4 linked regions of the Oryctolagus cuniculus genome follow. The protein of the gene in region 3 purifies or fractionates together with the protein of the main gene of each other region. This does not show direct contact. Links are inferred from orthologs where the notes say so. Each region holds a gene or a part of one and is shown on either strand. Other genes may lie near its edges.

Region 1 (7,744 bases), on a different chromosome or scaffold from region 3:
GAACACCAAGAGCCTTATATGACTATATACAATAAATGTACACATGAACATATAGTCAAAATATAAAAAGGAAATATAATAAATTTTTTATAATAAAAATACTACTTTTATATTCAGAGGTCCCTGATACCCACATGGGTGACCAGGACTGAGTTCTAGGATCTTGGCTTCAGCCTGGACTAGTCCTAGCTGTTGCAGACATTAGGGGAGTGAACCAGGAGATGGGAGATCTCTCTTTCTCAGCCTTTTCTCATTTAAAAAAAGGAAAAAAGCTAAAGCTGAAACCCAATTCACAATTCTCAATCCATCTATATGAGGATGATCACTGAAATTATAAATAATAAGGCCTATGAAGGAAGTGGAGAGATTGCCCCCTAGAAGATGCCCACAAACAAGAGGAAAGGAAAAGGAGTTTGCTGAGGAGAAATAGTCGGTGAGGCTGAAAAAAACAAAATAAATATCTCAGAAACCTAGAAGACAATTTAAAGATACCATAGGTGCATCTGAGACATTAGAAAGAAAAATGGCTACAATTATCACTGGAAGTGATCCTGTCTGACGGTAAAATTGAATGGACTTCAGAAAACAGGAGGGAACAATCTTCCTCACATAGGAAGACTTTTCATATACAAAAGGAGGAAGCTATCAGAAAAGATATTAAGATGATAGAGGGGCCAGCACCGCGGCGCAGTAGGTTAATCCTCCTCCCATGTCACCAGCATCCCGGTTCTAGTCCTGGCTGTTCCTTTTCAAATCCAGCTCTCTGCTGTGGCCTGAGAATACAGTAGAGGATGGCCCAAGAGCTTGGGCCCCTGCACTCACATGGGAGACTAGGAAGAAACACCTGGCTCCTGGCTTTGGATTGGGGCAGCTCCAACCTTTGCAGCCATTTGGGGAGTGAATCAGTGAAGGGAAGACCTTTCTCTTTGTCTCTCCCTCTCACTGTAACTCTACCTCTCAAATAAATGAAAAAACAAACAAACAAACAAAAAAAACCTTAACTCAGAAAAAAGATCTTTTCTAGAACTTTTGATGCTTACAAGAACCATTCCAAGAGTAGAGTGAGACAAATCTGCCTGACCCAAAGAAAAGTCATTATCATAGGGGGACTCAAAAGTGCTACAATAGGTCAAGAGATAGTGAAGGTTATAAGAGTACATGCCCAAGATAACATTTTAAACAAATATTGGCCTAATTAAATAGAATTAAATATTATAAAGAAATAACAGAGCTCAACATATTGTTTTGACAAAAAACAAACTGCCACTTATTCATACCTGTGTCTGAATATCATCTCCTGTGACAATGTTTCCCACAGCCCGCAAAGCAGGAGAAACCACTTTATAATCATTATGCCTGTAATCATAAAAAGAAACATTACAGCCAACAGTTCTAACCATGGTCTCTTTTCCTTAGGACCAAAATACAAAAGAAATAATGTGTGATAGGATTTAAGGGCAGAAAGGTACTATCAAGATGATGGAATTTATTTTTGGAGAAAAACTTGCAAATCTTTCCTAATAATCTTTCCCAGATCAAGTGGATTTCAAATTTACCCTCACTTTCTTTAACACAGGTCTCATGTCCTTATTACCTGGTTTTTTGTGATAATGGAGAGCAACAGTGATTATTCGCACAATTTTAAGTTATATAAATTGTCTAGTCTTCACAGACTAGACACTTAAACTACCTTGAAAAATCAAGGTAGAATTCATACTTCAATACTGAACTTTTTCTACTAAAGCTACTATGTCTTCACTGGTCAAAAAACCATCCATATGAAGCTTTTGTTATACATTTGAAGAAAGAAATTAAGTCCTAATGTCAAGCTAAATAATGCCCTTTAACTTTCCTTCAAGGTCCTATTTGCTCTCTCCTCTAACGAGATTGATTACCTTCTCAAAAGTGTAGCAGTTCCTTCTTACTTAATATCTGATAACTAAAAAATAAATGGTTTAAAGCATGTATGAACCTAATGACTAAAGAATACAATAACTTTCCAGATTTTAAATGCTATACTACTGAGTCCTGAACCATCATGTTGCTTCTAATCCACAACAGCACAATGTTACTAATCTGCACCCAGCCTATGGTCAACTATAAACCCAAAGTCTTGTATTTTGTGCATTAAATTTATGTAACCCAATCCACATGCCACATGTGAGACAATGTCCCCTGGCATCTGCTTTGCACTTCAATTAAATTTTATGCTCCTTATAATTGTAGATTTCCTTCATTAAATTATTTTATTTTTTCTTCTATTGGACTACCTGAAAATCTGAAACAGTCTCAAATCATTTACATTACTAGCAAATCTTCCATTACATCATCAAAGGCACCCCAAAGAGAATAAAATAAGATTAAATGTCTGACACTAATCTAAATGCTAAAGAAGACAGAATAGGAATGACAATTTTTAGTGGCAATATGCCTTTTGATACCGAGTGGTTGGTCTGAAGTTATCCAGTATGAGCTGAAACTATACAGATCAGTGTTCCAAATGTTTCCACTGAAGGACTGCTAGAGCAGAAACCTGAGAGATTCTTTAAAACCAAAATACCAAAACAATCTGATATGGACATAAACAAGTAACAAAAGAACACTAGCCTAAAAGCACTATTTATCAGTATAATATACAACTAATATTTAATTATTAGCAAATAGAAAACTAGTAGCATGGGAGAAGGGGCAAGCAGGCATTTTCTGAATGATATCTTACATCAGTAGCTCCACAAGTCTCCTACACACTCCTGCATCAATGACTGCTTGAATTTTATCATTGGGTCCATCTGATAGATATGAAAGGGCCCAGCAGGCATCAGCCAGTACATCAGTGTCACTGACAAACAGTAACCAGGAAAGCACATTCAGACAGGGGGAAACCTGTGAAAGGAAGATAGAATGATTATGAAATTTAACAGGATAAAAGACAAAGGAGATGAAACACTCCAGAAGGCAGTAAGTCATACACTAGGTGATTTACACTTCTGGAAATGGAGCAGCAAGTGACTAAGTGGCATTTCCATCCTTAGGAATGCTGCCAGTGGTTTGCAGCTTTTTTAAAGTTTTTAAGCTTTTTATTCAGTGGGAGAAATGCATAGGAGAGTGCAGGCCCCATCTAAGAGAGGGAAATTTGGATTCATACTATGTACCAGGAACCAGCCATGTGGAGGAGCATGCAGGCCAGGAAATGTAGAGCAGCCAGGGCCCACAATGGCAAAAAGTCCCCCCACCCCCTGAAAAAAAGGCTGGGCCCACCGTGTCCCAAGCCTTTAATCCACGTCCAAAGGCAAGTCTGATTGGCTGGTGGTCACACATGTGTGGCCAGGTAGGGGCATGAGGTCACACAGGGGCATGGTGAAGGCGTGGTCTTCCAGTTAACAAACCTGATCGATTTTATCCTATATACCTGCCTACATCATTACCCTCTCAGAAACTCCATTCTCTTAATCCTAAGGGATGTTGAAGGGCACAGAATCATATCTTCTATAGCTGCTTCTTGCTTATGAGGGGCGTAGTACAGGCCCAGCCTGTCCGGGTCTGGAAGTCTCCACCTTCTTATCTAACAAATTTTGCAGCTTATTATGATGAGGCAGTCAAAGCTCAAGAAAAGTAATTTCAGAAGCAAATTCTTACAATGAGGTTCTTCCTCAAAATGCACTATTTGTAAGCTGAAGAGGTAAAGGAACTAGGAAACTTGGTATTTTAGATACCAAGTTTGTTACAAAGAAAAAAATGCTAGGGGGTTTTAAGATGAATTCAGGGATTTTTAAAACAGAGAAAAAATAATTCCAAATAAAAACAAATAAATACAAAGAGTCCGCCTTTTCTAGAAACTGAAAAACCTTTTTATTATTTTAAATTTTACCAAAATAATCTTTCGATAAACATTAATACTGGATGAGGCTGGTGCTGTGGCGTAGTGGGTACAGCCACTGTCTGCAGTGCTAGCATCTCATATGGGCACCGGTTTAAGTCCTGGCTGCACTTTCGAACACTAATATTGGTTGCCATATTATTCAATTGCATTTTTTCTGCCTAATTTCCCACGCAAATCCTCACCTTTGCAAATTCTGGTGGTGGACTCTTCCCTCTACAGAGATTAGACAATGCCCATACTGCATTCCGGGTCATGGTCAGGCGGTTTTGCTTTGAAAATAACCTAAAAGCAAGATATATATATATATATGTAGATACAGATAGATATAGATATATATATATACATATATAATATATATGATACTAAATTATGTAATAGACATTAATTCTCTGATGGCATAAAATATAAACACTATTTAATGTTACTGATAAACAGATATCCTCAAATAGTTTTCCTGTGGAATAACTTATTTAATTATAATGTAACTAATTCAGAATTTTGGCACTGGAATAAAACAGGTGTTTGAACAAATGATCTGAACAAGTTAACGAGAAAACATCTGGAAAGAAAATTAACAGGAAGCCCAAAATGATTTCCAAAGAGATACTACTTTCTGAGGAATTCCATATCTTTATTTTTCAAAAGAAAGAAAAGCAAAAAGAAAGAACTTACTGCAAAAGAGGAGGAAGGATATTGCAGTCCAAGACATAATCCCTGCACATAGTACTATCTCCAGCAATGTTGCCTAGAGCCCAGACTGCCTGTGAAAGAATTATTAATTAAGGACAGTTACATAGTTTAATTCCTTCATAAGTCTTTCAAAAAATATTCCAGCATATCACAATAACATCTGTTAAAGTTATAGAGTCGTTAACCAACATTTTATACATGGATTATTAATATTCCCCAATTCATTCATCAAGGAACCAAATGAAACAGTTGTGGAACTGAGATAAGATGATCAATAATATTCTAAATTTCACAATAAACAGAGGGGTAAAGAACCATTTTTTACAATCTTCATCTTAGGGATGAATCCCCTTGCCTAAGCAGCCATTCCATATAACCCTCGACTGTTAGAAGTCAGAAATTCAAATGGCTTACTCAGCTCATTAAGCATGTAAACACGGAAGAGCAATCAAATCCAGATAACTTTATTAAACTTTTATGGGTAACAGATGTAATTATTTTTATCATAATGATGGTTCCATTTGTATTATCAAACTGTGCACTATAAATATATGCAATTCACTCTATGTCAAGGATACCTTAATAAAGCTGTAAAAAAAAATGCCCATTTAGCTGTAATTTATCCCCATTAACTTCATAAAGTTGGCAATAACCAGAAATAATTCACGTTTTCTATGACTTCCTGTACACAATGGCAAAAATCTTCCACTTCAATCAACACTAACACTAGAGATTCCTGCAAGAAAAAGTTCTATTAATAACTGCTTACGTGGTCTAAAAAAGCATTATCTATAGGATTAAGGAATTCAGGGATGGATTGGAAAAATGATTTTATATGCCTAGGAGAAACTGTGTGCAGAGTCACAAAGAAATTTTCTATTTTTGGTTAAGTTAGATTTCTAAAAAAGTCCCTGTGACTAACCAAGGATTTAATGTGGCCAAGTGGTGAAACCTGGGCCCTGAGTATGACTGAAGGGAAAATTTTTATTCTTTCATCTGCTTATCTTTGTTTCACTTCTTACCTGTTCCTGGACATCTTCAAACTCTGAGCTTAGCAACTCTATGAAGATAGGCACAGCTCCTGCCTGAATCACAATCCGGGTCTGAAGAGAATTTCCTGAAGCAATATTTGTCAGTACCCAAGCAGATTCAAACTATAAAGATAAAAATAATTTGTATTACCTTATTATAACTTAATGGCTTGATTACTTGAAATAAAAAAGCCTGCTATACACAGAACCTATCAGTTAAATTCTGTCTGAATTTTAAAAGAAGAATCCTCAGAAGAAATAGCTTCACCTAGAGAAATGATCAGGGTGGCTAGAATTTCAGATCAAGGTAGAGTTGACATGAGACCATAAAAAAAAGTAAGGGGGAGCCAGGGCTGTGGGTAAAGCCACCGCCTCAGTGCTGGCATCCCATATGGGCACCAGTTTGAGTCCCGGCCGCTCCACTGTTCCGATCCAGCTCTCTGCTATGGCCTGAGAAAGCAGTGGAAGATGGCCCAAGTGCTAGGGTCCCTGCACCTGTGTGGGAGACCCGGAAGAAGCTCCTGGCTTTGGATTGGCCCAGCTCCAACCATTGCAGCCAAAGGGGAGTGAACCAGCACATGGAAGCCCTTTCTCTCTCTCTCTGCCTCTGCTTCTCTGTAACTCTCTGCCTTTTAAATAAATAAATAAATCGTAAAAAAAAAAGGGGGGGGGGGAATGCTTCATATGCTGATACAGAATTATCTTCAAAGGTATAAATGGGGAGAAAAAAATCAAAACAGTGTATATCATCATACTGTAACATCTTACGGGTTAAGAAGAAGTCATGCATTAATTTATTGCATAGATTATGTAGGAGCCACAAGAAGCTGTAAGTACTTGATACCCACATGGTATGTGTGACAGAGGAGTAACGATGGGAAAAACAGTTTTCACTGAAAAGCCTCCTGTGACTTTTGGCCTTGCATTATGCATATTATCTAATAAAAAATAATTTCTAAAAGACAGGCAAAGTGAAATGGGGACAGAATATTAGTCTAAACCAGATAAAATAAAGTCACAGTGAAAGGGCAAAAGATATTTAAATGTTAGGTAGGTCAAAAAGAGTTAACAGGTATACAATTAAAAGAAAAGAGCATGAACACCTAAGAGTTTCCAGTAATTGTGAAGGCTATAAACCAAGCACAGAGGTTAAGACTTTTTGAGGCCGGCGCCACGGCTCACTAGGCTAATCCTCCGCCTTGCGGCGCCGGCACACCAGGTTCTAGTTCTGGTCGGGACGCCAGATTCTGTCCCGGTTGCCCCTCTTCCAGGTCAGCTCTCTGCTGTGGCCTGGGAGTGCAGTGGAGGATGGCCCAAATACTTGGGCCCTGCACCCCATGGGAGACCAGGATAAGTACCTGGCTCCTGCCTTCGGATCAGCGTGGTGCGCCGGCCGCGGCGGCCATTGGAGGGTGAACCAACAGCAAAGGAAGACCTTTCTCTCTGTCTCTCTCTCTGTCCACTCTGCCTGTCAAAAAAAAAAAAAAAAAAAAAAAAAAAGACTTTTTGAAAAGAACATTCTTAATAGGGAGATAAAAATGGGAGTAAATGAATAAAACTTAATATAGCATTACAGCACTAGTAAATACAAGATATAAAGAAAATTATGGGGACCAGCACTGTGGCAGAATAGGTTAATCCTCTGCCTGTGGCGTCAGCATCTGTATGGGCGCTGGTTCGTGTCCTGGCTGCTCCTCTTCAAATCTAGCTCTCTGCTATGGCCTGGGGAAGCAGCAGAAGATGGCCCAAGCGCTTGGGCCACTGCATCCACATGGGAGACCCAGAGGAAAGCTCCTGGCTCCTGGCTTTGGATCGGCCCAGCCCCAGCCGTTGCTGCTATTTGGGGAGTGAACTAACGGATGGAAGACCTTTCTCTCTGTCTCTCCTTCTCACTGTCTGTATCTCCAACTCTCAAATAAATAAATAAATAAATAGATAAAATCCTCAAAAAAAAAAATTATGGACAACAAAAAATACAGTGTATTACTAATTTATGTATGTCTAACAGTAAGTTGACTGGTTAGCCTAACACTGAGAAATGGGATTTCTAGATTGCTTCTTGCACTTATTCAGTCTTCTATTTATCTTTTAATGAAGCACACACACACAAACAACAAAATTCAGCAGTACGTCTTATGAACAA
Region 2 (7,744 bases), on a different chromosome or scaffold from region 3:
ATCTGGTTGGACATGAGTATATCCTCTGAATTTTTCAGAATAACATATTAACTAGTCACTAATGATCTCTCACGTTAATCTTAAGTAGACTGATTATTTTCTTTGTGTGTAAATGTAGCATAGGTTATAATATGAGCATTTTGATATTCATATCTTATGTCTAAATATAAGGTAATTCTGTTAGATTATATGGAAGTTTATAATTCATTCTTTAGAAGTAAAACTAGTACATGTTTCAGATGTAAAATTTTATATTATAATATGTATAATAAAATATTTGTATTAATGTTCATATTTTAAGATATGTTGAAATAAAACTAAAAATGAAATGCATAAATATTTCAGTATTTCAAAAGAGCTAATTATACTAAAGTACTAAAAAACTGGTATTGCAGTCATAACACAAGTCATGGCCCTTGTGGCTTTAGTTCTTAAGGCCGTGTTTTAGTGAAAGAAACCAGGCTCCAATAAATGGTTGAGATGTGCTTACTCAATCCTAATACTTTTAATTGAAAAGAAGACACTTCAGTGCTGGCTGGTTTTCGATTTTTGCCAGAAGCTATAATTTAGAAGGTTTTTTTGTTTTGTTTTGTTTTAAGCACTATTAGTTGATGATTATATCCTGACTCACAGTGAATGTACAATGCAACCTACTTAAGAAAGGTTAAAATTGGGGGGAGGGGGAGAGATGAAGGATGTTGCATCTTACAATCAGTGAAATAAGGGGACTTTGTGTTTAGACCAGAATCTCTTATTTGTTTAATATTGCTATGATATGGCCGGTGCCACGGCTCACTAGGCTAATCCTCTACCTTGTGGTGCCGGCACACCGGGTTCTAGTCCCGGTCGGGGTGCCAGATTCTGTCCCAGTTGCCCCTCTTCCAGGCCAGCTCTCTGCTGTGGCCCGGGAAGGCAGTGGAGGATGGCCCAAGTCCTTGGGCCCTGCACCCCATGGGAGACCAGGAGAAGCACCTGGCTCCTGCCATCGGATCAGCGTGGTGCGCTGGCCGCAGCGCGCCGGCTGCGGCGGCCATTGGAGGGTAAACCAACGGCAAGGGAAGACCTTTCTCTCTGTCTCTCTCTCTCACTGTCCACTCTGCCTGTCAAAAATAAAAATAAAAATAAATTGCTGTGATATGCATATAATTTGTCCCCACCAAAACCAATATTGAAATTTAGTTGCCAATGGAGGGGCTTTGGGAGTTAGGGCCTTTAAGAGGAAGTAATGTGTTTTGCAGGAATGGATTGATTCTCAAGAGTGGGTTATTATAAAATGGGTCAACTCCTTTGTCTTCTCTTCATTGCACATACCTACATGCCCTTCTGCTTTTCATCACACATGGAGAAGCATGAATCTCTCCTGAAAGCTAAGGAGATATTGGTGTCTTCTTAAGTCCTAGAACTGTGAATTAAATAAACCTCACTTTTCTTTATAAATCACCCAGTCTTGGATGTTCTGCTAAAGCAACAGATATGCACTGAGAAAATTAGCACTAGGAAATGGAGCTTTTGCTAAGACTAAATACTCGAAAGTGTGAAAGTGGCTTGGGAACTGAGTAATGGGCAGAGGTTGAAAGAGTTTAGAGGAACAAGATGATTATGGGTGATTCTGATGAGAGCTCAGAACACAAAAAGACTAGAGAGATTCTGGAACCTTTTATAGACTGCTTAAATGGTAGTGACCAGAATGTTGCTAGAAATGTGGACATTAAAGGCCATGCTATTGAGATCTCAGATGGAAATTAGGAGTATCATATTGGAAATGGAACTGCAGGCTATCATTTTTAGAAAGACATTGATGGCATTTTGTCCATGCTCTTGGCTTTATGGAAGGGCAAATTTAAGAGTTCAGAAGATCTAGTGGGGGAATTTTCTAGGCAAAATATAGAGGGGGCACGTGGTTACTTTTAACTTCCCATGCTGAGATTCAGAAACAAAGGAGTGGTTTAAAGACAGAGTTTGGAATTAAAAGAGAAGCAGAGTGGAAAGATTTGGAACATACACAGCCACCTGATGTGAAGGAAAAAACTTGTTTGGGAGAATAAAGCAAGGATATTTGTTCAGATTGAAGGGAGTTGCACACTGTATTCATCAGGATAAAGGGAAAGAAGACGTGAAGGAATTTCAGAGATCTTCCAAGTTTTCCCACCTACATCATAGGCTCAGACTATTCAGTGCTGCCCAGAGGTACACTAAACAGTGCCATGTTTTGAACTGCCTCTCAGAAGGCACAACCAGTAAGCCTTGGTAGCATTCATATGCAGGTGGTGCTACTTCTGCAGGTACAAGTATTCAAGAGCTGTGGAGGTATAATAGCCTTCCCCTAGATTTCAAAGGATGTATTAAATTGCCTGGGAGTCCAGGCACAAACCCACTGCTGAGCTGAAGTCACCACAGAACATCTGTACTAGGGCATTGCCCAGTGGAGCCAGGGAATTGGGATCACTCTGTGAACTATAGACTATTGAGCCCACAGTGGTGTACAGCACCTACCTAGAAAAGATACAGTCAACTGACTCCAGCTCTAGACATCAGCCACATGAGCCAAGACCAGAAAAGCTGAGTGTGTGCTCAAGGTTTTCTAAGGTATTGGGTGTCTCCACCCAAGTTGTCCAGGAGGTAACAGATGGTATGAAAATGTATTTGCAGTTTTGAGGTTTAATGTCTACTCTCCTAGTAATATACTTGCTTTAGGCCAGTTACTGCTTTTTTGGCCAGTGTTTCCATTTTGGAATGGTAACGTCTATCTTATCCCTATTCCACTGTTGTACATCAGCAGTAGGTAACTTGTTTTGATCTTATATGCTCATAGCTGGAAGGAGTTTGCCTTAAATCTCAGAAGAGACCTTGAACTTTGGACATCTACATTGTTGCCAGGATGAATTAACATGTTTGAGATTTTGGGAATGGAATTGTATTTTGTATGTGTGAAGGATATCAATTTTCATGGGCCAGGCCCAGGTTCTATGGTTTGAGTGTAGTTTGTCCCCAGTGAAACTGAGATTTGTTTGTCAGTATATTGGTATTGGGAGGTGAGTCTTTTTTATTTTTTCAACTTTTATTTAATAAATATAAATTTCATAAGTACAACTTTTGGATTATAGAGGTTCTTGCCCCATACCCACCCTCCCTCCCCCAAACCATCCCACTTCCTACTCCCTCTCCCATCCCATTCTTCATTAAGATTCACTGTTAATTATCTTTATATACAGAAGATCAACTATATACTAAGTAAAGATTTCAATAGTTTGCACCCACACAGACACACAAAGTATAAAGCACCATTTGAAGACTAGTTGTACTGTTAATTCTCATAGTACAACACCTTAAGAACAGAGATCCTACATAGGGAGCAAGTGCACAGTGACTCCTATTCTGGATTTAACAATTGACACTCTTCTTTATGATGTCAGTGATCACCCAAGGCTCTTGTCATGAGCTGTCAAGGCTATGGAAGGAAGCCTTTTGAGTCCACAAACTGACATTATTTAGACAAGGCCATAATCAAAGTGGAGATTCTCTCATCCCTTCAGAGGAAGGTACCTCCTTCTTTGATGGCCCCTTCTTTCCACCAGGATGCCACTCACAGAGATCTTTCGTGTAGGTCATTTTTTGCCACAGTGTCTTAGCTTTCCATGCCTGAAATGCTCTCATGGGCCTTTTAGCCTGATCCAAATGCCTTAAGGGCTGATTCTGAGGCCAGAGTGCTGTTTAGGGCATTTGTCATTCTGTGAGTCTGCCAAATTTACATTTCCTTTTCTCTTATTCCCACTTTTATTTTTAACAGGGATCAATTTTCAATTGTATTTCAACACCTAAGAATAATTCTGTGTTAAGCGTTCAACCAATGGTATTAAGTAGAAAAAGAAAATACTAAAAAGAATAAAATAGTAAGCTGTTGGGTGGTGAGTCTTTTAAAAGGGATTATTATCTTTCTGATAAGACTGGATTAGTTCTCAGGGAAAGAGGATTGTCATAAAGCAGGCCAACACCCTTGTCATCGTCTGTCTTCTACACTTGCCCACTTTCCTGTCTCCTTTTCTGTTATGTGTGCAGTAGCTAGTGGCCCTCCCTGAAAGCCTTCCAGCCTTTATGATTGTGATTGAAAATAAACTTCTTTCCTTTATAAATGCCCAGTCTTAACTGTCTGATATAACAGCAGAAAATAGATAAAGATAAATATGTTACTTCTAAAATATTTTATGACAATCTTGTGGGACTGTGAGAGTGTGTTCATCGTTTATGTTTTCAGGATGGGTTTTGTTGGTGTATTCAATCAGTAGGCTTGAATTTAATTCCCCTGGAGTAAGCATCTGTGTTATTTAGAGAATTATCAGTATCTGTTTTCTTCTCTCCACTTAAGATGCCATGGCTAGTCCAGGGAAAGATAACTATAGAATGAAAAGTTACAAGAATAAAGCGCTAAATCCTCAAGAGATGAGGAGAAGAAGAGAAGAAGAAGGAATACAGCTTCGAAAACAAAAGAGGGAAGAACAGGTAGGTGTATTTAAATATTTAATTGTGGGGGCTGGCATTGTGGCTTAGCTGGTTAAGCCACAGTGTGTGATGCTGGTATCTCATGTTGGTGCCTGTTCAAGTCTTGGCTGCCCCACTTCCAATCCAGCTCCCTGCTAATATGCCTAGGAAAGCACCAGAAGATGACCCAAGTCGTTGGGCCCCTGCACCCATGTGGGAGACCCAGATAGAGCTACTGACTTGAGGCTTTGGCCTGGCCCAGACCTGGATGTTGTGGCCATTTGGAGAGTAAATGAGCAGGTGGAAGATCTCTCTTTGTCTCTGTAATTCTACCTTTCAAATAAAATAAATTAACTCTTAAAAAATAATTAGTTGTATTTAGCAATACAGTTTTTCAGAGGTTTTAAAAGTTTAATTAGTATTGCTGAATGTTAGACAATTTTAAATTAAAAAGTATCTTAGGAAATTGAATGTAGCCAATGTATTTTTAGTTTTTTAGACTCCAGGAATAATACATTCAAATTCCTCTACTATGGGGGCTGATGTTGTAGCTTACTAGGCTAAGCCTCCGCCTTGGTGCCAGCATCCCACATGGGCACCAGTTTGTGTCTTGGCTGCTCCTCTTCTAATCCAACTGTCTGCTATGGCCTGGGAAAACAGTGGAAGATTGCCCAAGTCCTTGGGCCCCTGTACCCAGGTGAGAGACCCTTCTGGCTCCTGGCTTTGGATGAACACAGCTCCGGCCGTTGCTGCCATTTGGGGAGTGAAACAGTGATGGAAGACCTTTCTCTCTGTGTCTCTCCCTCTCTCTGTCTGTAAATCTACCTCTCAAATTAATAAATAAATTCTTTTAAAAAAATCTTTTATTGCTTTTAGTCACTGAGAGGAATGACTTTTCTCTGTTATTGATAAACCTTTATGTGATCACTGGTAAGAAATTTTTACTTTTGAGTCTATTTAGTCATTTCTGTTTATCATAAAATTTGTTCCCCAAAATATGTTAATTATATTTATTTGCTGTTTTGTGTTTTTCATAGCTCTTGCCCTGAAGTCACTTATAGTCATTTTTTTAAAAAAATATTTATTTATTTATTTATTTGAACCTCAGAGTTACACAGAGAGGGACAGATGGGGAGAAAGATAGAGATATCTTCCATCAGAGAGAGTTCTTCCATCTGCTGGTTTACTCCCCAGATGGCAGCAAGGGCCAGGGCAGGGCCAGGCTGAACCCAGGAGCCAGGGGCTTCTTCCAGTCTCCCACATAGGCGGTAGGGGCCCAAACACTTGGGCCATCTTTTGTGGCTTTTCCCAGGCCATTAGCAGGGAGCTGGATTGCAAGTGGAGCGGCCAGGACTCAAATTGGCACCCTTATGGGATAAAGACAATTACAAGCAGTGGGCCAACCTGCTATACCATGATGCTGGCTCCCTAGTCATTTTTGTTTACTACCCATACTATTCCTCTTGTAGTCTCCTCAGCCATATGTCTTAATTTCTCTGTTTATTCTTTGTATATGAGACCAGAAAATCATTTGAGAGAGTGTATCTCATGATACACTTAAATTGATAAATATTTATAAGTGAGAGGATATGCTCCACATGTACATGAATTAAAACTGATGAAGGAAGCAGAAAAATACATGTTTTAGAACTATGGTTACTGGCCGGCGCCGCAGCTCAGTAGGCTAATCCTCCGCCTAGTGGCGCCGGCACACTGGGTTCTAGTCCCGGTCGGGGTGCCGGATTCTGTCCCAGTTGCCCCTCTTCCAGGCCAGCTCTCTGCTGCGGCCAGGGAAGGCAGTGGAGGATGGCCCAAGTGCTTGGGCCCTTCACCCCATGGGAGACCAGGAGAAGTACCTGGCTCCTGCCATCAGATCAGCGCGGTGTGCCAGCCGCAGCGCGCCGGCTGCGGCGACTATTGGAGGGTGAACCAACGGCAAAGGAAGACCTTTCTCTCTGTCTCGCTCTCTCACTGTCCACTCTGCCTGTAAAAAAAAAAAAAAAAAAAAAAAAAAAGAACTATGGTTACCTCTCCCTATCTGTAGGACGTAGCACAGCCCTTAGTATATTATAGTCAGGACTCAAAACAGTGTGGTTAAATGATTGATTTGTTGGAGATCTATGTACAGATTGAAGAGCACTACTTGTTTAGCTACTAAAAAATACATAACCAGAGTTTTTTTCTTGAGTTTTGAGTTAAGAAATGTACTTACAAATCTTCCTTAGTGATACTACTATGTCACTTTACTCCCTACCCGCCTCACACACACACATTTTTTTTTCATTTTTATCCATTGAATTAATAAAATTTTTTCCTGAGAATTGTTTTCTATTCCTTGTTAATCAGATATACTAAGTCTATTAATATATCATGTTATTCTCCAACAGGTTTGCTTTTTTTTTGCTTTTTTTTTTTTAATTTAATTTTTTTTTGACAGGCAGAGTGGATAGTGAGAGAGAGAGACAGAGAGAAAGGTCTTCCTTTTGCCGTTGGTTCACCCTCCAATGGCCGCCATGGCTGGAGCGCTGTGGCCGGCGTACCGCGCTGATCTGAAGGCAGGAGCCAGGTACTTCTCCTGGTCTCCCATGGGGTGTAGTGCCCAAGCACTTGGGCCATCCTCCACTGCCTTCCCGGGCCACAGCAGAGAGCTGGCCTGGAAGAGGGGCAACTGGGACAGAATCCAGCGCCGCGACCGGGACTAGAACGCGGTGTGCCGGCGCCACTAGGTGGAGGATTAGCCTATTGAGCCGCGGCGCCGGCCAAAGTTTGCTTTTTTAAAATAGAAATTCTTAAATTTTATTTATTTGAAGGTCAGAGAGAAAAATGAGAGAGAGAGAGAAAGAGAGAGAAATATCAAAAATTAGAACTGGGCCAGGCCCAGATCTCAAATCCCAGCCTCCCATGTGGGTGGCAGGGACCCAAGCACTTAAACCACCTGCTGCCTTGTAGGGTACATATCAGGAGTAGAGGGACTTGGCACACAGCCAAGACTCAAACGCAGGTATTCTATTATGGAATATGAGAATCCCAAGCAATATCTTAAACACTGCCCATTATATTCTTTCTAATTATGATTTTCTTTGAAGATTTTTAGGTACCTCATAATCCACTATGGAAATACATGCCTTCAAAATTCTGTGAAATATGCTTTGCTTATGGTGGACCATTAGTGAAAGAACTGAGATTGGCTGGCGCCGCAGCTCACTAGGCTAATCCTCCGCCTTGTGGCACCGGCACACTGGGTTCTAGTCCTGGTCGGGGCGCCGGA
Region 3 (7,744 bases):
CTGGCTTGTTTGACATAATTAAAAATTACTTTTCTACAGGTTCAATTCCCTTTATCCTAAATGCTTAGGACAAGTGTTTCAGATCTGGGAGTCTTTTTTGGATTCTGGAATATTTGCATATATATATAATGAGGTATCATGGGAATGGGACTCTAAGCCTAATCACAAAATTCATGTTCTACATATATCTTTGGCATTTAGCCTAAAGGTAATTTTATACAATATTTTTAGTGCACCTGCATTTTAACTGCAACCTGTCACACAAGATCAGGTGTGGTATTTTCCACCTGTGGCATCACGTCAGCACTGAAAAGTTTCAGAGTCTGAATGTTTGGATTAAGGATGCCCAACCAGTACTCAATTATGTAGGGATACTTTTACCTGAATGCTGCTTTCTTCATCTTCCCGGGGTGATTGTGCAGGCATGACTTCCACATCTGAATTATCAGATGAGGTATTACGTTTTCTCTTCTTACCCACTACAGGAGTGATGGTGCTAAGAAGGAAAAATCAAACTCATTTTTAGTGAGGGCAAGGAAAAGTTAGGGGTGAAAACCCAACATAATTATAGGGTGGGCTCTTGCACAGTAGTTAAGACACTGCCCGGGATGCCCACATCCCCTGTCAGAGTGCCTGGGTTTGAGTCTCAGCTGCATTCCTGCCAACACACACCCTCGTAGGCGGCAGATGATGGCTCAAGTACTTGGGTCCCTGCCACCCAGATGAGAGACCTGGATTGAGTTCCTGCCTCCTGACTTTGGCCTGGCTAGCCCTGGCTTTGTGGGCATTTGGGGAGTCAACCACTGGATGGAAGACCTCTCTTTTTTCTCTGTATTCCAGTCTTTCTGCCTTTCAAATAAAGTGAAAATAAAGAAAAAACAACAAAAAATATAGTTAATCTGAACTATCATATACCAAGTTTCCAGACAGAAGCATTTGGATATTTAGTCCATGATACATTCAGATATTAAATATGGTGTTCGAAAAAAGAAAATATGTGTATTGTAAACCACTGAATGATCTTTATACTAGATCTGACAAATCACTGCCACCAGTATGTTCACAAATCCTGAAGAAAGGTAGCATAAAATAGAAAGAATGCTGGTTTAAGACTAGAAGGTTGTGGTCCAACATCACGGCACAGGCAGGTTAGGCCACTGCCTGCAATGCTGGTGTCTCATATAAGCGTGGATTTGAATCTTGGCTGCTCTGCTTCTGATCCAGCTCCCTGGGGTGCAACTGGAAAAGCAGTGAAAGTAGCCCAACTATTTGGGCCCTGTCACCCATGTGGGAGATCTAGCATATGATTTTGCATCTTGGCTCTACTTCTCATCAATGCATACCCTGGGAGGCAGTGATAGCTCAAGTGATTGATCCTTGCCATCCACGTGGGAGAACAGAATTCTGTTTCTAGCTCTAGCACAGGTCAGCCTCAGCTGTTACAGGTATCTGGGGAGTGAACCAGTAGATGGGATCTCTCCAACTCTCAAATTTAAGACAGAAGAGAGGGGCTGCTGCCTGCAGTGCCAGCATCCCATAGGGCACCAATTTGAGACCCGGCCGCTCCACTTCTGATCAAGCTCTCTGCTATGGCCTGGGAAAGCAGTGGAAGATGGCCCAAGTGCTTGGCCCCTGCACCCGAGTGGGAGATCCGGAAGAAGCTCTTGGTTCTCAGCTTTGAATGGGAACGGCTCCAGCCATTGCAACCATTTGCGGAGTGAACCAGCATATGGAAGATCTCTCTCTCTCTCTCTGGCTCTGCCTTTCAAATAAATAAATAAATCTTAAAGAGAGAGAGAGACAGACAGACAGACAGAAAGACACTAACATGGCAGCCAGTTTCATTAACACTGCCTGAGACAGACACTGATTACTGAAATCTTCTCCAAGTCACAAAAACAGGGTGGCTATATCTCTAGCAGTTCTTTTTCTTTTTCACTAGAGTGGGTGTAAAAGGGGTCATAAGAAATCACTTTCAGACTTCAGTGATACAAAATTGAGAATATATAAATACAGAGTCATAGCTTTTAAAGGTAACCCCCAACACAATGATTGGCTATCTTTCCTGTGCCTTAGTGGTTTCCACTTATTTATTTATTTATATTAAAGATTTATTTATTTGAAAGTCAGAATTAGAGAGAGGGAGAGAGATCTTCCATTCAATGGTTCACTCCCCAGAGGGCCACAATGATCCAGTCTGGGCCAGGCCAAAGCCAGGAGCTTCTTCCAGGTCTCCCACATAAGTGGTAGGGGCCCAAACACTTTGGCCATCCTCTGCTGCTTTTCTAAGACCATTAGCAGGAAGCTGGATTGGAAGTAGAGCAGCCAGGACACAAACTTGAGACCATATGGGATGCCGGCGTCACAAGCGGCAGCTTTACCCGCTACACCATAACACTGGCCCCCAGTGTTTTCCTTTTAAAACATGCTAACTTGTAAATTTCTGTTTAATCATATAAACACTGGGACAGAGAAAATAAAGGCCTTATTTTCTATGATAGGACACCTTGAACTGTGTAGTGACTCAACACAAGTTCTTCTCCACATTATTGAAAAATGAGTGCATTACCCACAAATATCCCAGCCAAATAGCAAGGCTACTCACTTGAGTTTACTCTTGCCCTTTGTTTTGGAGGCTCCAGATGTTTTGCTTTTCTTTGGCTTTTCTTCCTTCAGCCTCTCCCCAGTGCTCTTCTTCCTACGTTTCTTCTCACCTTCCTCCTCAGGTCGAACACTGGGCAACTCGTCCTCATTCAGGACACGAGGTATGTTCTGCTCACCCCGGGCACGAGCCCTAGCGATGGCCTCTGCTACAATCCGATTTGCTTTCTCTTGCTTCTTCTGGTGCTCCAACCTTCGGTTTTCCTCCATTCCTGTCTTTCCCGTGTGAGGAGCAGAGTTTGCTGGTGATGACAGAGCTGCCACTTCACTGGCACTTAGAACTTTAACTACAGAGAGCCCAGAAGAGGCCCCTTGGGAAGAGCCAGCCTATAGAAATAAAGATGCTAAAATTTCAATGTGTCTAGTTAAATGGCCTCAATAAAACAAGTTCTGAAACAGGCTAAAACCAGTTCTCTAGTTTCTCAAGAACCAGGCTCTGAATCTAGACATATTTTTTAAAATGTGTTTTTTTGGCAGGAAAGAGGTGAGAAAAGACAAAAATTCTGTCAAATCAAATTTCAATATCCCTTTGTCAAGCTCTCCTAGCAATACCTACTTCAATTATCTTAGAAAAATTGTAATTAATATAGCCATTATTGGCCTCTGGCAAAAAAGAAAAAAAAATACAAGTTCTATTTCCTGGAGGGCAGAGGGATTATTTATTTCACCTTCACAGAAGGGTAATTTCTAATTGTTTTCACTTCAAAATGATACCAGGAAAGACTGTATGTGAAACATTCAAATACGAAAATCATATCTCATCCTAAACTCAGTGAGTCTCTGATCTTTCCATGATATAATTAAAATAAGATTTCCATGGGTGAAAGAAATAAAAGTCTCCATCTCAGTTCAGAAGTATAAATCTAGAATAATGCCACAAGCAACAGTAAGTGGCTATTGAAAGCAACAGCAAGGGTCTAAGAAGTTTGCTTTTTTCCCTTACTATGTAATTCTCTCACCTGTGGCTGCAGCACCATCTTGAGTGGCACTGAAAGTCTTTGTCCTGGACTTTGTCCTGGTCCCATGATCTGAGCCTGCTGCACAGAGGACAGAGTCAGTGGCTGGGTTGCAGGTGGCTGTTGGGGCTGTGGTTGCGAAGATGGAGGTTGTGGTACAATCTGGATTTTTTGCTGTGGCTGTTGCACCTGCAGCTGGATAGTTACTACTTTGGCTGGCTGCCCCTGGGCATTCTTGGCTTGAGTTAGGGCTGCCAACTGGTTGCCCTGTAATACTATCTTGCCTGGTAGGCTCCCTAGCACAACATGCCGATGTCCTTGGGGACCTCCAGACTGTGGCTGCTGGAGGACCAGGGTGATGCGTTTCGATTCACCCTAAAGTGAAAAAAGGAAATTGCAAGAGAGTTACAATATTAAAGAATGGTATACCCTGAAATATTTATACCAGTTTTCTTCATCCTAGAGTCACAAAAATTAAGGGTCAGAAGACATAGTAACATTGTGTTCATCTACTTATCCACAACATCTCTGCCCAGCAAATATCCAGGCTATTTTTTAAAAACTCCTAATGGATGGGAGGCTCACTACCTTCTAAGACAGTCATCTCACATTAATGGAAATCTTTTAGAACAAAAGACCTTATATTGAAGTCTGCCTCCTTGTGGCTTCTTCCCACTGGTTCTATTTATTTTAGTATTGTCTGCCTATCTCAACTCTTCTGGCCCTTTATTCAGAGGACGGAACTAGCCTTTTTACTGAGCAAAGTTAGAGGGGATGATCTTAGTAAAATACATAGGAAAACAAATAATGCTTTTACAAGTCTTGCAAATATAAATAAATAATTTGCCAAAGATGTTTCTTTGTTGGCATAGGATCCTATATTTCATGAAACTTTCTATCATACATTGTTGTAAATTTTTGCTTAATGTCTATGGTTCCTGACAGACTAAGCTCTCTAAGCACAGGGATTGTGTCTGTCTGATTCAGCACCAGGTAGACACAGTAGAAACATGCAGTGTAAGTGCAGAAAATATGTTAACATTAACTGCTTTCATCTGGCAAGAAATAAGCACGTCACTGTCAACACCAACTGATAAAATGCACAGACAAGGTTTCCCAGAGAGAGCTTTCATGCACACTCACTCTCACAAAACTGCTAGGCCCACTACAAATCCAAAATTCACCTCCCCCTTTCAATCAAGTCACCTGGGTAGGTGTAGAGGTCAGTGTAACTGCAGGCTTCAGAGGGGGCCCTGTGGCCCCAGGGTTTCCAGCAGGAGCTGAACCCTTCACTGGCTGGAGGACCAGCTGCTTTACTGGTCGGCTGGGCTGGACAATGCGCTGAACAGCAGCCTGGTTCCCAGGGACCTTGGCGGCCAACACTGTATTACCAGAGACAATGGAGACACCTTGTCGAAGGGGTGTGCCAGTTAGCACTTTGGTAAAAGTGACTTTTCCACCATTGGCTGTGCCAGCCACCAAGGGCTGAGTTGTGCTGGTGATACCTTGGGCCTGAATTTGTGCCACATGGGCACCAGTGACTGAGGAGCTTGGTGGGGCCTTAAGAATAACAATCTTAGGGGCTGACTGAGGTGGCTGTCCTCCAGTGGTACTAGAGGGAACAGCTGTAGCAGAGACACCCATGAAAGGATTCCCCTGGCTCAGGATCTCCTGGCTCTTGGAGACCTGCAAAAGTCCCGACGTTGGCGTCGATGTCTGTAAGACAGGTTGGGCTGGCTGCTCCTGGCTGGCGGGCTGAGTGGTATAATCATGCAAGGTTAAAGATTCAGGAGCTGGAGCTGCGGATTCTTTGGGAAGGTCTGTGGGGGTTGTTTCCTCTGGTGGGGGGACCAGGTCACTTGCTGATGGATTCCCCACATCACCACTTCCACCATCCTGGTTCATCTGGTCCAAGGAGTCCAGAGAGCTTGGCAGTCCAAGTGCTTCCTCAATGGGGTCTTGGGTGACCTGGTTAAAGCTGTCATCAGTCAGAGAGTCCAGGCCAAATAAATTTGGGTCATCAAACAGGTCCATGATGGGGTCTGCCATCTTGGGAAAGTAATGGATGCTGTTTCTCCAAGTTCTGGGGAAGGGAAGGGGAGGGGGGGTATTGGTTCTCCCCTCCCCTCCCCTATCAAGAGAAAAATGTACACAATGGAAAAAGGATTAATCTTCAAGTAAAGAGGCAAGTAACATGTGCATGTCAGATTGTCCTGACCTTCATGGAACAAGATGGCTAGGTCTTCAGAGGAAGATGGTGGAAGTCCTGTTGCAGGAATACAAACACAAATGAAAAATAAGCAGTTGGCGACCTCGGAGAAAATTTCTCTTGATTTAATACATTGAAATAATAAAAGAAGGAAATCTATGGAAAGGCAGATAACAGAAAGAACACCCACATTTCTGCTTCAAAACTAAAAGAAACAAACTACCCCCTTTTGGAGTTCTTACACCAACACAGTCTGAAGCTTCTTTCTGTCAAGAGCATTCAGCTGTATCTGTCCATTCCTTTTCACAATTTTCATTCTTACGTGGAGATTAGGAAATTTAAAATTAATTCACCTTCTATTTTCAGTTCTTAGACTGGCAGAACTTAAAAATATACCATCAGCACTTCAGTGAATATAGATAAAAGTTTCTGGATAGATGAGGGAACTTCAAAAAGTTTATAGAAGCCGGCGCCGTGGGTCACTAGGCTAATCCTCTGCCTTGCGGCGCTGGCACACTGGGTTCTAGTCCCGGTCGGGGCGCCGCATTCTGTCCCAATTGCCCCTCTTCCAGGTCAGCTCTCTGCTGTGGCCCGGGAGTGCAGTGGAGGATGGCCCAAGTGCTTGGGCCCTGCACCCCATGGGAGACCAGGAGAAGTACCTGGCTCCTGGCTTCGGATCAGCGGCGGCCATTGGAGGGTGAACCAATGGCAAAGGAAGACCTTTCTCTCTGTCTCTCTCTCTCACTGTCCACTCTGCCTGTCAAAAAAAAAAAAAAAAAAAAAAAAGTTTATAGAAAATGTCTACTTTGGGGCAAAAATTTGATGCCCATGCTAAGTGTTCTGGCTTATAAATTTTCCTTATATTTTAGATATTTTTACTGAATACTGTCAAAAGTGACCACTTTTAACAGAGCTCACAGTACAAAATCACCAAGATCATAGTACAATTTTACTCAGCAAGTTTTGCAAACTTTATTCTAATTGGCAATTAACAAATCAATTAAACTATATATATTATCATGTTCTAGGTTTGACACCAGGTTGCTCCACTTCCAATCCAGCTCTCTGCTATGGCCTGGAAAACTGCAGAAGATGGCCCAAGTCCTTGGGCCCCTACACCCGCCATGTGGGAGACCCAAAAGAAGCTCCTGGCTTTGGATAGGCGCAGCTCTGGCCATTATGGCCAATTGAGGAGTGAACCAGCAGATTAAAGACCTCTTTCTCTCTCTCTGCCTCTCTTCTCTCTCTGTGTAACTCTGAATTTCAAATAAATAAATAAATCTTAAAAAAAAAATCATGTTCTAAAGTCACCTTTCTCATATTTAAGATTAAAAACTTCCTTTGCAGGGCCAGCCCAACGTGGGGCACAACGAGTTGAAGCCCCAGCCTGCAGCACCAGCATCCCATATGGGCGCTAGTTCAAGTCCCAGCTACTCCACTTATGATATAGCTCTCTGCTATGGCCTAGGGAAAGAGTAGAAGATGGCTTGAGTTCTTGGGCCCCTGCACCAGTGTGGGGGCCTGGAGGAAGCTCCTGGCTCCTGGCTTCGTATAAGCTCAGCTCTGGCCATTGTGGTCATTTGGGGAGTGAACCAGTGGATGGAGGACTTTTCTCTCTCTGGCTCTAGCTCTTTCTATAACTCTTTCAAATAAATAAAATAAATCTCTAAAAAATACTGTTAAAAAAAACTTTCTTTGCAAGAGATTAATCATTTTGTTTCCAATTTATATTCTCAACTTTTTCCTTACCATTTCCTATATTATATCCTGCATTCCAGGCCAACTATGGCAACCAGACTATATAGTTCCCTTAATGTGATTACTATTTCCTTAGTTTTACCTATTATGCTGTAGCTTCTGCCTGGAATACCCCCTCTCTCTTCACTCCATTCTATCCCAAACATCTCTCCCAAATGAC
Region 4 (8,346 bases), on a different chromosome or scaffold from region 3:
ACAATGTGTGCCAATAAAAAAATCTTTACCTGGGGCTGGTGCTGTGGTGTTGTTGATTAAGTACCTTGCTGCAGTGCCAGCATCCCATATAGGCACTGGTTTGGGTCCCAGCTCTCTGCTTTGGCCTGGGAAAGCAGTGGAAGATGATCCAAATTCTTGGACCCCTGCACTCACATGGGACACCTGGAAGAAGCTCCTGGCTCCTGGCTCCAGACTGGCCCAGCTCCAGCCGTTGTGGCCATTTGGGGAATGAACTAGTGTAGTGAATGGAAGACTTCTCTCTCTCTTTGCCTTTGCCTTTCTGTAACTGATTTTCAAATAAAGAAAGAAATTTTTTAAAAAAATCTTTACCCCCCCCCCCCCAAATGATTGTTCTGGCCATTACAGACATTTGGGGAGTGAACCAGCAGACAGAAGATCTCTCTCTCTCTCCCTTTCTGTCTGACTTTTTCAAATAAACATTAAAAAAATATATTCAACAATATTTTTTAAGATTTCTTTATTTATCTGATAAAGCTACAGAGAAGCAGAGGCAGAGAGAAAGGTCTTCCATCTGCTGATTCACTTCCCAAATGGCAACAATGGCCAGAGCTGCAACGATCCAAAGCCAGGAGTCAGGAGCTTCCTCCATATCCCCTATGCGGGTACAGAGGCCCAAGGACTCGGGCCATCTTCCAGTGCTTTCCCAGGCCACAGTAGAGAGCTGGATTGGAAGTGGAAAAGCCGGGACTTGAACTGGCACCTACACAGGATGCCGGCACTGCAAGCAGCAGGCTCTACCCACTATACCACAGCACTAGCCCCTCAACATCATTATACTTGATCTTACCCAAAAGGCTGAGAAGCGATCAACATCAGTAGTTATTAGGGAAATGCAAATCAAAATCACAAAAAGAAACCACTTCATACCTACTAGAATGGAATAACAAAACAAAAAACAGGGACTCAAGCCGATACATACTTACAGCCAATATTCAAGTGTGGTAACAACCCAACATCCATCAACAGATGAACAGATAAATGAAATGTAGTATATCCATTTCATGGAGTATTAGACAGAAGAATGAAGGTCTGACATACACAGATGAACTCTGAAGACAGTATACCAAATACAATAAGCAAGACATAAAGCGGGGGAGGGCGGTGCTGTGGTATAGCAGATAAAGCCACCGCCTGCAGTACCATCATCCCATACGGGCGCTGGTTTGAGTCCTGGCTGCTCTTCTTCTGATCCCTCTCTCTGCTATGGCCTGGGAAAGCAGTGGAAGATGGCCCAAGTCCTTGGGCCCCTGCGCCTGCGTGGGAGACCTAGAAGAAGCTCCTGGCTTCAGTTTGGCCCAGCTCCAGCCGTGGTGGCCATTTAGCGAATGAACTGAACCAGCATATGGAAAGACTTACTCTCTGCCTCTGTGTAACTCTGCCTTTCAAATAAATAAATAAATAAATAAGCAAACTTATCTTTAAAAAAAGACATAAAAGGACAAATTATAGAACTTCATATAATAAAGCACTCAGAAGAGTCAAACTCATTTAAAAACAGAAATTAAAATTTGAGATTACTTGGCACTAGAAAGAAGAGAAATGGGCATTACCACTTAATGGTACAGAATTTATACGGTTTGATAAAGTTTGAAAATAACTAGTGGGAATGGCCACATAGCACTTGTAAATTTTACAAATATTCCTGTATCATACATGTACATTTAAAAATGGCTGAGGGGTGGTCACTGTGGTATGGGAGATTAAGCCACTGCTTGGGACACCCACAGTCCATACTGGAGTGCTAGTTTTAATTCCAGCTGCCTCTTCTGCACTTCTGATTCAGCTTCATGCTAATGTATCCTAAGAGGCAATAGATGATGGCTCAAATGCTTTGGTCTCTGCCACTCACATGGAAGAGCCAGATGTAGTTCTGAGTTCCTAGCCCAGTCCCAGCTGTTGTAGCCATTTAGGGAATGAACCATTGGGTAGAAGATACTTCTCTCTCTCTACCTCTCAAGTAGATGAAAATAAACATTTTTAAAAATGGTTGAAGTAGTCAATTTCACTACAACAAAAAAAATTTTTTTTGACAGGCAGAGTGGACAGTAAGGGACAGAGAAAGGTCTTCCTTTTCCATTGGTTCACCCCACAATGGCTGCTGCGGCTGGTGCGCTGCAGCTGGTGCACCGTGCTGATCCGAAGCCAGGAGCCAGGTGCTTCTCCTGGTCTCCCATGCGGGTGCAGGGCCCAAGGACCTGGGCCATCCTCCACTGCACTCCCGGGCCACAGCAGAGAGCTGGCCTGGAAGAGGAGTAACCAGGACAGAATCCGGTGCCCCAACCGGGACTAGAACCCGGTGTGCTGGCACCGCAGGTGGAGGATTAGCCTATTGAGCCGTGGCACTGGCCAAAAAAATTTTTTTAAAGATTTATTTATTTATTTGAAAGTCAGAATTACAAAGAGAGAGGAGAAGCAGAGAGAGAAGTCTTCTATCCAATGGTTCACTTCTATCCAATGGTTGGCTGCAACGGCTGGAGCTGTGCCGATCCAAAGCCAGAAGCCAGGAACTTCTTTCGGGTCTCCCATGCAGGTGCATGGGCCCAACGACTTGGGCCATCTTCCACTGCTTTCCCAGGCCACAGCAGAGAGCTGGATTGGAAGTGGAGCAGCCGGGTCTCAAACTGGCGCCATATGGGATGCCGGCACTTTAGGCCAGGGTGTTAACCTGCTGTGCCACAGCGCCGGCCCTTAAAAAAAATTTTAACTGCAGTGCACCTCTTTCAATTAAATCTGATTCAGAGTGGGCCTTTGTCACTTGTGAAGATGCCAGATGGGATGCCTAGGTTCAAATCCAGGTACTACCTCTGATCCATCTTTCCTTAATAATGTGCACCCTGGGAAGCAGTAGGCAATGGTCAAGTATTTGGGTCCCTGCCATTCACATGTGACACTAACAGTGAATTCCCAGCCGTGGCCTTGCCCAGCCCTGGTTGTTGTGGTTATTTGGGGTGTGAACCAGCAGACTGGAGATTTGTCTCTCTGCCTTTCAGATAAATAAAAATATATTTTTTAAATTAAAAAAAATTTGTCATAGAATCCCAATGTGGGGGTGGGCACTATGATGCAGTGGTTTAAGCCACTACTTTGGGACACTCTCACCCCATATCAGAGGGCATGGGATCAGTACTACCTCTGCTTCTGATCCAGCTTCCTGCTCATGTGCATAATGGGAGGCAGGAGCAGATGATGGCTCAAGTTGTTGGGTCCCTGCCACCCATGAAGGAGACCAGATGCGACACCTGGCTTCTGGATTTAGCCTGGCCCAGCCCTGGCTATTGTGCGAATTTGGGGAGTGAACCACTAGATGGAAGATCTCTGTCTCCACTGTCTTTCAAATAAATAAAAACAGAGACATTTACAAATTATAAAACGAAAGAATCTCAATGTGTAAAACCAGATAAAAGTGATGCTGACAGTGTTGAAGCATGGGGAGAAGGGCCTGAAGCCTCACCAACTTGGTTCTCCCTTGATCAGTATTTCCAGTCCTCTCAACCTGTAATCTGAAACAGTGAATAAAAGTATTGCAAAACGGATGAAAAGTAAGTTTTTTAGATACACTGAAAGGGAAAACTAATACTGCCTTTTTCTGGAGGTGTAAGGGTGACTGTGACAACAGAGTTTGAAAAGTAATCTCTGGCTGGTGCCACGGCTCACTAGGCTAATCCTCCACCTTGCGGCGCCGGCACACCAGGTTCTAGTCTCAGTTGGGGCGCCGGATTCTGTCCCGGTTGCCCCTCTTCCAGGCCAGCTCTCTGCTGTGGCCAGGGAGTGCAATGGAGGATGGCCCAAGTGCTTGGGCCCTGCACCCCATGGGAGACCAGGAGAAGCACCTGGCTCCTGGCTCCTGCCATCGGATCAGCGCGGTGCGCCGGCCACAGCGCGCCGGCCGCGGCGGCCATTGGAGGGTGAACCAACGGCAAAGGAAGACCTTTCTCTCTGTCTTTCTCTGTCACTGTCCACTCTGTCAAAAAAAAAAAAAAAAAAAAAAAAAGTAATCTCTGAAAGATAACATTTGGCCTGGTTCTTCAAGCAGGCGTTGACTTTGGGAATGGAAATGGATCAAGAAAGCACATAGTGAAGGAGTGAAGGAGGAAAAGTAGTCTACAAGGGCATCAGGTTGAAAGAAAAGTAAAACTTGAAGTTAAAGAGAACAGGCTGAATCCATCTCTGAGGAAATCAAGAGGATTTGTTGTTTAAATAGGGGGGGGGGGATAAGTGGATTAAGCTCCTGTTTGGAATGCCCACATTCCAAATCAGAGTGCCAGTTTATGTCCTAGGTACTCTGTTTCTGATTCAGCTTCCTGCTAATGTATTCTGGGAAGCAACAGACAATGGCTTATGTGCTTGGTTCCCTGTTATCTATGTGGGAGACCCATATGGACCTTCAGTCCAGCCCAGCTCTGGCTGTTGTGGGCATTTGGGGAGTGAACCAGCAGATGGAACTTCTCTCTCTGCATTTCAAAAAAGAGGCCCAGCTTAAGGAAGAAATAAATAAATGCCAAGGGATTCAAGTGACCATCCTTTAGGTCCTGATTATCCTTGTGCCTGGAGACTAACAGGCGGAGCACAGATTCCTGAACATAACATTGTGAACGCCTCTACCCTGTTACCTGACGCATGATTTTTCATGAATAACATTGTGAACGCCTCTACCCTGGTACCTGACACGTGGTTTTTCATGAGTCTGAACCTGGAGTCTCCCAGAGGCTTTCCCAACCTTCGAGCAGAGTTGACAGCAAAGTTGGAATGAAAACCAGGCTGTGATTTAGTCACCATGGTGACAAGAAACTATCACAAATACTTGCTTATGACCTCACTGGAAAAGCAGGCAAGGGAGGGAGTGTGAAAGGAACATCTGCAGAAAAGCACATGTGGAATCGACCAAAAGAAGACTGGGTTATCTTTCATGGATCCAGCAGTACAGGGACTTTTTCCATGGTACAATCCCTTACTTGCTGGGGTTGGATCTAGAAAATCCACATCAAAAATCTTTTCTGTCTTAGATAGCTTTGGGTTTTCTTAGTCAAGGAACTCAATCAAAGGTCACTGAAGTTATACCTCTTATTTCTAGGGAATATATGGAATACATATCTAATGCTGCCAAGCATTTTCTAAGCTTTTAGAACCATGGGAGTAGCAACAAGAAGACAAAATAGGTATGGACCCTGAAATGGCTGAGCTACTGTAGTCTTGCTAAATTCATACGATGAAGCCCTAACCCCCAGTACCTCAGAAGGTAATTATTCTTTTCATTAAAGCCCTTAAAGAGGCAAATAAGGTTACAGAGGTCATTGCTAATCCAGTACCTACTATCTTTATGAAGGAAAACACCAAGTAAATATGCAGACAGCTACCCAGAGGCTAAGGAGAGAGGTCTTAGAAGAAACCAACCCTGCTGACACCTTAACCTTAGACTTCCAGCCCCAGAACTGTGAGAAAATAAAGCACCCAGTCTGTGGTGTTTTGTTATGGTAGCCCTAGCAAACTAAACAAAACAAAACAAAACAGAGAACAGGTAACACATGAGTCCCAAATTGCTATAGTGCTCCATTTAATTACCGGTATGTCTTAAAAATGTGAAATTCTTAAGATTTTTTTTTTTTTTTTTTTTGACAGGCAGAGTGGACAGTGAGAGAGAGAGACAGAGAGAAAGGTCTTCCTTTGCCGTTGGTTCACCCTCCAATGGCTGCCGCGGCCAGCACGCTGCGGCCGGCGCACCGCGCTGATCCGATGGCAGGAGCCAGGAGCCAGGAGCCAGGTGCTTTTCCTGGTCTTCCATGGGGTGCAGGGCCCAAGGACTTGGGCCATCCTCCACTGCACTCCCTGGCCACAGCAGAGAGCTGGCCTGGAAGAGGGGCAACCGGGACAGAATCCGGCGCCCTGACCGGGACTAGAACCCGGTGTGCCGGCGCTGCTAGGCGGAGGATTAGCCTAGTGAGCCGCGGCGCCGGCCAATTCTTAAGATTTTTAACATGCATTTTCTCAGAAAAACATTTCACAAATAACCCAGCTACTGTGAGTATCGGTTAAGAATGATGTCATTACACCTTCAAGCTCACAAATATGAGTATACTTCCAAAAACTAATGAGAAAATGGAGGGCTGGTGTTGTGGTACAGCAGGTTAATCTGCTGTCTGCAATGCTGGCATCCCATATGGGTTCTTACTGCCCCACTTTCAATCCAGCTTCCTGTTAATGTACCTGAGAAAGCAAAAGAGGATGGCCCAAGTACTTACGCTCCTGCCTCCCTTGAGACATAGATAAGTTCCTGGCTCCAGCCTGGCCCAGTCCTAGCTGTTGCAGCCATTTAGGGAATGAACCAACGGATGGAAGATCTATCCCATCTCTCCCGCTCTCTCTGTAACCTTGTTTTTCAAATAAATAAATAAATCTTAAAAAAAGAAAATGTTTATTTTGATACAGCTTTCTTATAATAATGAATTTTTTCATGAATTTTTTGAAGAGTCCTTGTATGTATAGATTGAAATAACACACTCTGTGTTTTTAAGGTGTTCTTTACAGCTACTGACTCTAGCACTTTTCTAACTGAAGACTTACTTTCATGGTCTATACTTTGAGTCTGGTGCTTTAGACCGCTCGACCATCCCGACACACCATGGTCTATACTTTGAAAAGTATACCAAAATTACCAATCACTTAAAGGAGTCTACCTAGAAGAGCCCCAAAGAGCTCTATGTAAGACACTGGGGAACCTGCCTATACTTTCTTCATGAAGTCATCACTCTTTTCTAATTATGATCCAATCCATGTCTTGGTGAATGAGTACTCCTACTTAAAAAGAAAGGCTTTCTAATGAAATGTTATCATAGCTACCCTGGCACAAGGCTGAACTAAGACTTTAAATCAGGCAGACCAACTGTTGGATGCTATAGTTAGTAAACTTTACAACTCATCCCAATACATTAAAGATTACTCAGTGGCACCAGAAGGAGAGATAATGGAGATAAAAATAACCTGTTATGGGAGCCTGCATTGTAGCCTAATGGGCTAAGTTGCCGTGGGCAACGCCAGCATCCCATATGGGCACTGGTTCAAGTCCTGGATGTTCCATTTCTGATCCAGTTTCCCAGTAATGCTCCTGGGAAAGCAATGGAAGATTGCCCAAGTGTTTGGGCCTCTCCTCCCATGTGGGAGACCCAGAAGAAGCTCCTGGCTCCTGGCTTCTGCCTGGCTATTGTGGCCATTCGGGGAGTGAACCAGCAGATGCAAAATCTCTTTCTCTGACTCTTCCTTTCTCTGTGTAACTCTCTCAAATAAATAATCTTTTTTTTTTTAAAGGGACATAAAATGCACCCCCTCACACACTATATCTGATCTATAAACCATACATCTCCATTCATCTTAATTTTATTCTTTATTTTATTTGGGGCTGGCTCATGTCCCAGCTGTTCCACTTTATTTTTTTATTTTATTTATTTATTTATTTATTTTGACAGGCAGAGTGGAAAGAGAGAGAGAGAGAGAGACAGAGCGACAGGTCTTCCTTTGCCGCTGGTTCACCCTCCAATGGCCGCTGCAGCCAGTGCGCTGCGGCCGGCGCACCGCGCTGATCCGATGGCAGGAGCCAGGTACTTGTCATGCTCTCCCATGGGGTGCAGGGCCCAAGGACTTGGGCCATCCTCCACTGCACTCCCTGGCCACAGCAGAGAGCTGGCCTGGAAGAGGGGCAACCGGGACAGAATCCGGCGCCCTGACTGGGACTAGAACCCAGTGTGCCGGCGCTGCAAGGTGGAGGATTAGCCTAGTGAGCCACGGCGCCGGCCTCCACTTTCAATCCAGCTCCCTGCTAATGGGAAAAGCAGCAGAAGATCATCCCACTACCCACATGGGAGACCTAGACGAAGCTCCTGGCTTTGGCATGGCCCAGCCCCAGATGTTGTGGCCATCTGGGAAGTGCATCAGCAGATGGAAGATCTCTCTCTCTCCCTCCCTCTGGAACTCTGACTTTCAAATACATAAAACAAATCAAAAAATTTTATTTTATTTATTTGAAAGGCAGGGTGATAGAAAGCAAGACACAGACAGTAAGAAATCTTTCTCCCACATGGCTGCAACACCTGGGACAGCTCCAGCCCAAAGCCAGGAACTCCTCAGGGTCTTCCAGATGAGTGGCAGGGGTCCAAGTACTCTGAGCCATCTTCTACTGCTTTCCCAGGTGCACCAGCAAGGAGCTGGATCAGCAGCTGGGTAGCCAAGATTTTATCTAGCACTCTGATATGGGATGCTGGAGTCGCAAGCTGCAGTTTAACCTGCTGTGCCACAACACAGGGCTCTTCATCTTTT

Evidence for each region.
Region 1: the proteins of CHD8 (region 3) and KPNA1 purify together in Homo sapiens (affinity purification with mass spectrometry; 6 studies listed by BioGRID and IntAct, with this or other methods). This does not show direct contact. The link is inferred for Oryctolagus cuniculus from reciprocal best matches to the Homo sapiens genes CHD8 and KPNA1.
Region 2: the proteins of CHD8 (region 3) and KPNA5 purify together in Homo sapiens (affinity purification with mass spectrometry; 3 studies listed by BioGRID and IntAct, with this or other methods). This does not show direct contact. The link is inferred for Oryctolagus cuniculus from reciprocal best matches to the Homo sapiens genes CHD8 and KPNA5.
Region 4: the proteins of CHD8 (region 3) and KPNA6 purify together in Homo sapiens (affinity purification with mass spectrometry; 4 studies listed by BioGRID and IntAct, with this or other methods). This does not show direct contact. The link is inferred for Oryctolagus cuniculus from reciprocal best matches to the Homo sapiens genes CHD8 and KPNA6.

The regions. Positions count from the first base shown.
Region 1 is NC_091435.1:78,651,969-78,659,712, forward strand, and holds part of KPNA1 (importin subunit alpha-5), read right to left. Parts: intron 5,725-7,744; coding exon 5,593-5,724; intron 4,642-5,592; coding exon 4,553-4,641; intron 4,163-4,552; coding exon 4,063-4,162; intron 2,884-4,062; coding exon 2,720-2,883; intron 1,357-2,719; coding exon 1,278-1,356; intron 1-1,277. UniProt on the Homo sapiens protein: Functions in nuclear protein import as an adapter protein for nuclear receptor KPNB1. Binds specifically and directly to substrates containing either a simple or bipartite NLS motif.
Region 2 is NC_091436.1:53,711,601-53,719,344, reverse strand, and holds part of KPNA5 (importin subunit alpha-6), read left to right. Parts: intron 1-4,363; coding exon 4,364-4,497; intron 4,498-7,744. UniProt on the Homo sapiens protein: Functions in nuclear protein import as an adapter protein for nuclear receptor KPNB1. Binds specifically and directly to substrates containing either a simple or bipartite NLS motif.
Region 3 is NC_091443.1:53,508,590-53,516,333, reverse strand, and holds part of CHD8 (chromodomain-helicase-DNA-binding protein 8), read right to left. Parts: intron 6,579-7,744; exon of another isoform or gene 6,486-6,578; intron 5,884-6,485; coding exon 5,761-5,883; exon of another isoform or gene 5,714-5,760; coding exon 4,824-5,713; intron 3,993-4,823; coding exon 3,621-3,992; intron 2,989-3,620; coding exon 2,606-2,988; intron 497-2,605; coding exon 382-496; intron 1-381. UniProt on the Homo sapiens protein: ATP-dependent chromatin-remodeling factor, it slides nucleosomes along DNA; nucleosome sliding requires ATP. Acts as a transcription repressor by remodeling chromatin structure and recruiting histone H1 to target genes.
Region 4 is NC_091438.1:140,305,141-140,313,486, forward strand, and holds the start of KPNA6 (importin subunit alpha-7), read right to left. Parts: upstream 4,834-8,346; 5' UTR 4,819-4,833; coding exon 4,653-4,818; intron 1-4,652. UniProt on the Homo sapiens protein: Functions in nuclear protein import as an adapter protein for nuclear receptor KPNB1. Binds specifically and directly to substrates containing either a simple or bipartite NLS motif.